Coturnix japonica: one gene and its partner. The protein of the gene in region 1 interacts with the protein of each later gene in a biochemical or structural test. Links are inferred from orthologs where the notes say so. Each region holds a gene or a part of one and is shown on either strand. Other genes may lie near its edges.

Region 1 (4,087 bases):
GCTACAGTCATCGAGTCCTGCAGTGAAATATGAAGCAGCAGGAACACTAGTTACGCTCTCCAGTGCACCGACTGCAATCAAGGTATAGAAGTGCTGTTTCCAGACATCCCACTACCTGCTGGTGCACTGTAGTGCTGTGTATTATACCTTGTACTTTTGAAGTATGAAGGCTTCAGGAAAATGTCAGTTTTGACAGTTCGTGTGTAAAACTGTCTTAAAACGTCTCTTAAAATTGCTCAGAAGAGACTAGGACTGTATGTTGCAGATTTGTGGCTGGTGGACCTCATGCCACTTGCTGATGGACAGGCTTGTGCATCTGTGCAATTTATCACAGTAGTTGGTATCAACCTGCTGTTTTCTTGACCTTCTTGTTAAAGATGACCAGTATTGAAGATTTCCAGAGATTGAATTACTTTCATTACTCTGAAATGTGATTCTTTTTCAAAGTGGTAACGCACGGCTTTGAAGATCTGTGTTGATTCCTGCTTGACCTCACATTCCTATTTATCTTTGTGGTGTTGATTACTTGAGATCATAAGGGAATTCTAAATTCTAATGAAAAATAGAATATACCAGTCTAGAATAAGAGTAAAAATATTGTAAATAGTAGCTTCAAAAGAAGTGTATTAATTCAGGTGTATTAATTCTTACATTCTTGCTTTAGTGCAGTCATTTTCCTTGAGTATGTGTATCATACGGAGAAGCTGTCATTAAAACCATATCTAGATATGCTAACACTGTCAACTATTTTAAATTCATTTTTATGTCCTGTCCTATACCTAAGATTTGACTCAAAGCATGCAAGGAAATTTATGGTTTTGTTTGAATTTGAAATCAAGGCTGTGAATTGTAAGCTGTGCATCTTCCTGTGGTGTTACTATAACAAACTGATGGAACCATCTTTGTGGTTTATCAGAAAGTTTAAACACTTCTCAGGTTAATTTCGGTGCCAACTCATTGCATTGTTGCTCTAGTAGATAAGTAAAAGCTGTCTTTTCCTGAATTTGTCTTCAAGATTTGCCCAGTTTCCTACTTTGTTACTTACATAAATATTTTTGTTCCTTTTTAACGTAGGCAGCTGCCCAATGCTACATAGATTTGATTATTAAAGAAAGTGATAATAATGTGAAATTGATTGTTTTGGATCGGTTGGTTGAGTTAAAGGAGCATCCCTCCCATGAGCGAGTGTTACAGGTATGTGAGCTCTTTTCTTGCCAGCCATCTGAGTGTTTTTCCTTCCCTATAAATTTTCAGGTGTCATGGTACAAAATGCCCTTCTGAAATTTAAACCTCTTGTTCATACGTCTGTTGAAAACAGCTGAATGGTCTTTTACGTTTAGGCTTGCTGTATCTATTGCCTGCAGTAACTACGGTAAATGTTGACGTGATTGTAAGGCTTAGTAGCTTGCCTGAGAAGAGTAAGAATGGATGAAATGAGGACTGAACTTCATAACCTCTAGGATATGTTGTATGTTTGTCACTATGTTATATATTCTGCGTCCACAACATCTTGGGAAATTACTGGGCACTGAAAAGTAGAACTGAGGATGGAGTAATTTGAAGCAACAAAGCAGTTATGTATTTATTTTTTAACTGTTTCAGGATCTGGTTATGGACATCCTCAGAGTTCTGAGTACCCCAGATCTGGAAGTGCGCAAAAAAACCCTTCAGCTGGCTCTGGATCTGGTTTCTTCAAGAAATGTGGAGGAGGTAAAAGATATATTACACATGTCTCATAACATGTTTTTATTCACCAGAAAAATACGTGACTTTCCTCAATTTTTTGATCTTTTCTGCAGCTTGTGATTGTTCTGAAGAAAGAAGTGATTAAGACTAATAATGTGACAGAGCATGAAGATACTGACAAATACAGGCAGCTGCTTGTTCGTACATTGCATTCCTGCAGTGTTCGGTTTCCAGATATGGCTGCGAATGTTATTCCAGTGGTATGGAAATCTTTAATTATCTTGTCATTCAGTTATGTCCTGCTGTACCAAAATCCTTACTACCCATCTGCGTAAAAAAAATAAGCGAAGCTAAGGTTTTTTCTAAAAGTGGGTTTACAGTCAGTCAGACTAATTCTCATGGCTAAAGAAATATCTGCATCTGAACGTAGTACAGTGATAGAAATGTAACTTTTTTGTTCTTTGTGTTAATGCTCCCCACGCTGTGGTAGCTGATGGAGTTCCTCAGTGATAATAATGAAGCTGCTGCTGCTGACGTACTGGAATTTGTTCGGGAAGCAATCCAGCGATTTGATAACCTCAGACCTCTTATTGTTGAGAAGATGCTTGAAGTCTTTCATGCAATTAAATCTGTCAAGTGAGTCTCAGATACAATGTTAAACCAGAACTGGAGCAGTGTGTGGCTCATTTACATTGAATGTATGTTGTCATTAAGTATGTACCAAAAGCCTTGCAGTCCACACACACAGAAGGTACAGGAGGTAGATGATCACAGGGAGATGGTTTCCATCTCTCCTCTTTTTATATGATAGAGTGGGTGCTGTTTACATGAACACAGATGAGTTCAAATTGTTTTCTTGATGCTATTGTTAATTGTGCTTCTGTTTGTTAGAGGATGACGTTCTTGAAGGCCAACACCAAAGCGATACATTTGTTAAAACAGAATTACTAAGGGAATATTGCAGTGGGAATTTGCAGTTGTAGGGAACTGGAAAAAGTTGGACATTTGTCAGAAAAAGAAAGCCCTAAAATAAGAATCTGGAGAGCATTTTAGTACTTGCAAAGTGCTCAAAGCTTGGTATTCTGATGGATCAGTCATATGAGGGGAACTTCTCTGCTTGAAGATGCCTCTTTCTGAGTATCCCAAGTTTTTGGCTCTGTCAGTATGTCATTAAGTGATAAATAAGCCCAACCCTGAAAAGCACTGCTATTCTTTTTCCTCTAATCTTCATTCAGCCTTCTGTTTTCTCCTTCATATAGGAGAAATGAGAAGTTAGTTTGTCTCAGGGAGCTGTGGAAATTACAGCTGTCTTTGTTAACATGCAGAGCTGGTTGTGATGGTAATGAAATGTAATTTTATAAATACCAAGCTTAGCACAGGTGGAATGAAACAGTAGCAGAGAAGAATTCTTATTTTATATACTTGTTCATTAGTTTATTGAGGCTGAAAGGACAAATGTTGTAGATCAAACCTACTTCCTGCCCATCACATCCCTTTGAATTTGTCCATGAATAGCTACCCTTAATGCTAGTTTATCATTAAAACATGGTTAAATTCCTCTTCTTATTTTAGGATTTATCGAGGAGCTTTATGGATCCTTGGAGAGTACTGCAGCACAAAGGAGGATATACAAAGTGTAATGACAGAAGTTCGCAGATCACTTGGAGAGGTGTGTTTATTTTGTTATTCTAACTTTTTGTGGTTTATCTCACTACATACATTGTACTAAAGAAAGGATTTAAAACAATTAAAATGCAATACAGAGTTTTGAACGGTTGTAATGTTGTGTGTGCAAGAAGCCAAAAGCAAAAAGTAGATTTTGCATTCAGTATTGAATTATTTTTAAGTAGAAACTGGCATGTATTGAGAATAAATATTAGAATGCTTCAGATTTAGGAGAGTGGGTGAAAAATTGCTTGTTTCAGAACACTGTGTCAACTTGAACATATGAGTACCATAGCTATATGCACTAAAAATGAAGAGTGCTTTAAGTCTTGGGAGCTCTGCAAGCACTGTATGCAGTGTCATGAGCTTTATGCACAGCTGTAGGAGGTTTCTCTATGTACCTGAACATCTATGTGTTTGTGTTTAGATCCCAATTGTAGAATCTGAAATCAAGAAGGAAGCTGGTGAGCTAAAACCTGAAGAAGAGGTGACCGTGGGCCCAGTCCAGAAACTGGTGACAGAGATGGGTACTTATGCAACCCAGAGTGCTCTGAGTAGTTCCCGGCCCACCAAAAAGGAGGAGGACAGGTATTTAAGATTTCATACTAGACCTAGTAAAAGTTTTTTTTTAAGTGACGTTCTCTGTCATGGAGAGTTGAGTGGTCAATGTAGTGTTTTTGAAGTATCTTCTGAACTAGGTTTCTGATGACTGTCTGTCCTTTTAGGCCTCCGTTGC
Region 2 (4,557 bases), on another chromosome or scaffold:
TTATCCATGAAGACTCAGGAGGAAGCCAAACAAAACCCTTCAGACAGCACTAACTGCTGCCAACTGCACACACCTACCTGGACGGTGCTGGTGCCACTTTGGGCTTCTCTGTTTCAATGATGGTCTCTGTGATCATTGCTGCTGTTGTGCCCCCAGACACAGCTGAGCTGCCAAAGCCACCGAAGCCAGGCGCCTTCTTGCCCAGCCTCTCTGCATCCCTCCTGGCCTGCTGCAACTCCTTCGCTTTACGACGCATCTCAGCTTTTGCTTCACGTTCCTGAGTCTGAAATAAAAGATGAAAGCTGCTAAAGCTTTGCAATCTCAGTTTTATTCTGTACAGCTGCTCACGGTGTCTTCTTACAAACACAAAATGCCAAAGAATGGGTATTCAGTGTACAGGAAAGCTAAGTATCTTTAAAAGCCTTGCCAAAGTGGAGTAACACCTTTGCATAAAGAAGCAGTGCTCCCAAAGCACCTTGCACCACAATTAGTTCCACTCACCTCTCGGACAGCTCGGAACACCTTTTCTTCATGCGACTCCATCTCTGTGAAGGTCCGAATTTGTGCCAAGTTTACATTCTCACGGTAGCCCAGGGCAACAATTTCATCAAAGGCAAAAATCAGGTCAAAGCAGTGCTCAGAGATCTCATTCTCCTCTAGAGCTCGGCAATATTCAGGGATCTAGGTAGGGAAAAGCATTGCAAACAGATGTAGATGTGACAATCAGCACCCACTGAGCTGCTGTTTAAGATGAAGTTTTGTGACTATTTTTTTCCTTCAACTAAAACACTTATGGAGTCTTTCAGCACAGTTTTAACTTTGTAATTCACTACAAAACACACCCTGTGATGCTGCTCAGTTTCTTGAAGATCCTTCAGCTGCACAGATATAGATTATGAAGTTAATTAAAAAAACAACTGCAAAAACCCATGACTTAGAAATCCATTTAGAGCACTGCTATGCTTCTCAATCACAATGTGAAGCCAGGACTGAAGGAATGCAGTTGCTACCTAAAGAACATAGAAATATCTGACACTACATTCGCAGCATCTCTTTGGCCTCACCAGTTAAATGGCAAGCATGGATTTCTCACATGTAGTTCAAAATTACCACAGGAGCAGCAAAGGTTACTTCCAGGTCAGGAACAAGCCATAGATAACCAAGTTATGAGGTGGAGGCAGAGTGCTTCAGCACCAGCTTGCCACTGTTTGGGGCTACAGGTGTGAACACAGGACCCGACGTGTAGATCCTTACCACTCTAGAGAAGAGTCGGAGTGTTTCCAGGTCTTCCAGGATGTTGCTGTTTTTCGTGGTGATCAGCACCATGTAGAGCTTCTCCATCGGCTGATACACGTACCTCACGCTCTCTGTTTCCACAAAGGTGTGTTGCTTCCCAGTGTTCATCAGTTTGGGGAAAGCTGCCAGCAGCCCCTCGATGCGGGTTCGGGTCATCTCCACAAACTGCCGGGAGACGATGGCCTTCCCTGCCTTGGTGCAGACAGCTGCCGCCAACAGCACCTATAGGGACACAGACACAGCATTGAAAGCTCTCAGTCCTCCATTCAGGCTAATGCAACACCTTTTCCTATAGGGCTATGACAAAACCCCAGCAATGCTTTAGGCAAAAACTGACTTATCTGTTAGTTCAGCCCCAGCAGAAAAGTCACAATAAAGACCAGAACACTTTGAAATGTGACATCTCTTCCCAGTGCCACACTTAAACTAAGCCGGGTTAATAAAATATTGACCATTATATTAATTACAGCACGTGGATGGTTCTCCTGGGCATTTCACTGATGTTATCACACCAACAATAGAAAGGCATTAAGGTAACTGCCAATTCACCCTTTCTCATTCTCTCCGCCTCGACTTCGTCCTGAAATACTTCTCTCACAGATTAGTTTCTTAATTAACATAGTGAAGATAAAGCAGTTTCTAAAGGTAAGATCCTTTCACTCCCCAGCCAGTTTTAATCACAGTATCCTAACAATGAGAAGCACCAGAAGTTCTTCAGTGTCTGTACATTTCAAGCATGAACCCCAGCACGGCCAGGTGAGCAGCCAGCAACTGCTGTACATTGAGTGGCCATAGGAACCCTGTAGTCAGGGATATCTTGAAGAAAGCAACAGGCATAAGCCTCCATTTCCCAACTGCTCTTTGAAAGGGCTGTGAGTGCAGCACAGCACAGCACAGCACCGAATGGCACAGCTGATCTCAGCAGCACCTCGGCCTCTGTCACCAAGCAGCAGGTCCCGTTCGGGGACGGAAAGCTCACAGCTCCACGTCACCCACAGCCAACGGGACACAAGTGACCTCCACCCGAGCTGGCAGCTGAGGCAGCAAGAGACGAGGCCTGGTTACAGATGTCAGCCTTAACGCTGCAAGCAGCCTCCACGTTACACATCACGCAGCGCACAGCGGGCAGTGCCCCCCAACCGCCCTGCGGCAGCGCCCGGTAAGCGGAGCTGGAGGCTCCCACAGGCCGCGCCACGTCCGGGCCCGGAGCGCAGCGTCACCCGGCGGGGCAGCACGGCCTGGAGCGGCCCGGGTCCATCGCGGAGCTGCGGAGCGATCCGACAGTGCTCGGGGACGAGGCCAGAGAACGGCAGCGGAGCCGCCGAGCGATGAGCGGCCTGGCCAGGCCCCGCGAGCTCTCCGACCCCGGTCCGGCCGGCAGCGGCCCCACGAGCGGCGGCTGAGCTCTGGGCACAGCCTTACCATGGCGGCGGCTCATGGCCGGGCACACCCTTACCATGGCGGCGGCGCTCGGCTCGGCGCTCGCTCCCTCGCGGCTCCGCGTCCCCTCGGGCAGCCCCACAAGATGGCGGCGCCGAGCCACGTCCCCAGCCGGAAGCGGCGCCGCGCACGACGCGAGGGGCGGGGCGGGGCGGGAGGACCCGGAGCGCGGCCCTGGGGGCGGCCCGCGTCAGTACCGGCCCCGGCCGGCAGGGGGCGACACCCACACGCGGCTGCGGGGCCGGGCCGCGGGCGCCGCTCTAGCCGGGAGAGGGAGAGCGAGACGGGGTCGCCATGGCGACGGAAGGCGGCGTCATGGCGGAGCGGCGGCCGGCCGAGGGGAGCGGGGACGGGCCGGGCCGCGCCATCGCCTCCCCGCGACCCTCCGCACAGCCTCGGCCCGTGGAGAACCAGCCGTACGACGAGAGCCTGGAGCTGCCGGACACCGAGGAGGCGGCGGGGAGCGAGAACCGGCCGCAGGGATCCCGCCGGCCGGGGCCGATCTGGTCGGGAGGAGGCGGCACGGGAGCGCGGCCCAGCGGGGCGGGAGAGCGCGGCAACGACCGGGAGGGAGGAGGAGGCAGCAGCAGCAGCAAGGTACGGGGGGAGAGGGGCGGTACGGCACGGGACGGTACGGCATGGTATGGTACGGTATGGTACGGTACGGTACGGTATGGCACGGTATGGTACGGTACGGTACGGTATGGTACGGTATGGTACGGTATGGTGCGGTATGGTACGGTATGGTACGGTATGGTACGGTATGGTGCGGTATGGTACGGTATGGTACGGTATGGCATGGTATGGTACAATACGGTATGATACGGAACGGTACTGCACGGTACGGTACGGTATGGCTCGGTACAGTACGGTACGATACGGTACGGTACGGTACAGTATGGCACGGTACGGTACAGCACGGTATGGTATGATACGGTACGATACAGTACAGTACGGTACGGCACGGCACGGTACGGTACAGTAAGTAAGGCCGCGTCCCTCCTGCCCTGAAGGAAACAGTGGCCAGGCTGGGACCCTCCACCGCCAGCGAGGACGACGATGATGACGATGATGATGATGATGATGACGATGATGAGGATTCCTCCGAGAGCGACTCTGAGGACTCGGAGGAGCGCGGGGCTTCACTGGAGGGGTGAGCAGCGGAGGGAGCCGGGAACCCGTGGCTTAAAAGGGTTGAACAGAGTTGTGCACGGACAGGAAGCCTCTTACAGTGAGAGTGTCCTGCTTCTGCTTTGGGGCACAGCTGGATCCATGTTCGTGCCTTTGTTCTTGTACAAAAACTGATAGGAAGTAATGTCTGCAAGAATTGCTTTTCCTCTCTTCAGTGACTACAACCTCGCAAACTATGACTACCTGCCGGTATCTCCTGAAATTAAAGAACTCTTTGAATACATAAGGAGGTGAGTTGAAGGAGCTTTCGCCTGCCCTGGGTTCTCCTTTGTCTCAAGGTCTTTGTCTCTGGCAGGAAATGTCAATTGCCCACTATGCAATCCTGTTGTTTTTCTCTCTCAAGATACACTCCGAAAACAATACAGATTGAGCACAAACTGCAGCCTTTTATTCCAGACTTCATTCCTGCTGTTGGAGACATTGATGCCTTCCTAAAGGTACAGTGTTTTCAGATATCCCCATACCTGCTGACACACAGGGTGAAACAGAAGGTGGTTTAGATATGAGCCTGGCAGACTGCAGCCACACTGACCTGGTGGTAGCGAGGTGCCCTTGCCCTGTGCTGCAGATACTGCTGTAGACACCTAGGAGATCACAAATAGCAACACTATGACCTGGCTGGTCACTTTG

Evidence for each region. The genes of interacting proteins can lie anywhere in the genome.
Region 2: the proteins of COPB1 (region 1) and ARCN1 form a complex in vitro, tested with the Homo sapiens proteins (2 studies listed by BioGRID). The link is inferred for Coturnix japonica from reciprocal best matches to the Homo sapiens genes COPB1 and ARCN1.

The regions. Positions count from the first base shown.
Region 1 is NC_029520.1:14,570,347-14,574,433, reverse strand, and holds part of COPB1 (coatomer subunit beta), read left to right. Parts: coding exon 1-82; intron 83-1,074; coding exon 1,075-1,194; intron 1,195-1,602; coding exon 1,603-1,710; intron 1,711-1,799; coding exon 1,800-1,946; intron 1,947-2,176; coding exon 2,177-2,322; intron 2,323-3,258; coding exon 3,259-3,355; intron 3,356-3,778; coding exon 3,779-3,939; intron 3,940-4,076; coding exon 4,077-4,087. UniProt on the Homo sapiens protein: The coatomer is a cytosolic protein complex that binds to dilysine motifs and reversibly associates with Golgi non-clathrin-coated vesicles, which further mediate biosynthetic protein transport from the ER, via the Golgi up to the trans Golgi network.
Region 2 is NC_029539.1:4,767,725-4,772,281, forward strand, and holds the start of ARCN1 (coatomer subunit delta), read right to left. Parts: upstream 2,924-4,557; 5' UTR 2,756-2,923; coding exon 2,753-2,755; intron 2,737-2,752; exon of another isoform or gene 2,722-2,736; coding exon of another isoform or gene 2,719-2,721; intron 1,519-2,718; coding exon 1,255-1,518; intron 682-1,254; coding exon 502-681; intron 284-501; coding exon 78-283; intron 1-77. Other genes in the region: IFT46 (intraflagellar transport protein 46 homolog), read left to right, coding at 3,031-3,333, 3,750-3,889, 4,083-4,157, 4,271-4,364. UniProt on the Homo sapiens protein: Component of the coatomer, a cytosolic protein complex that binds to dilysine motifs and reversibly associates with Golgi non-clathrin-coated vesicles, which further mediate biosynthetic protein transport from the ER, via the Golgi up to the trans Golgi network.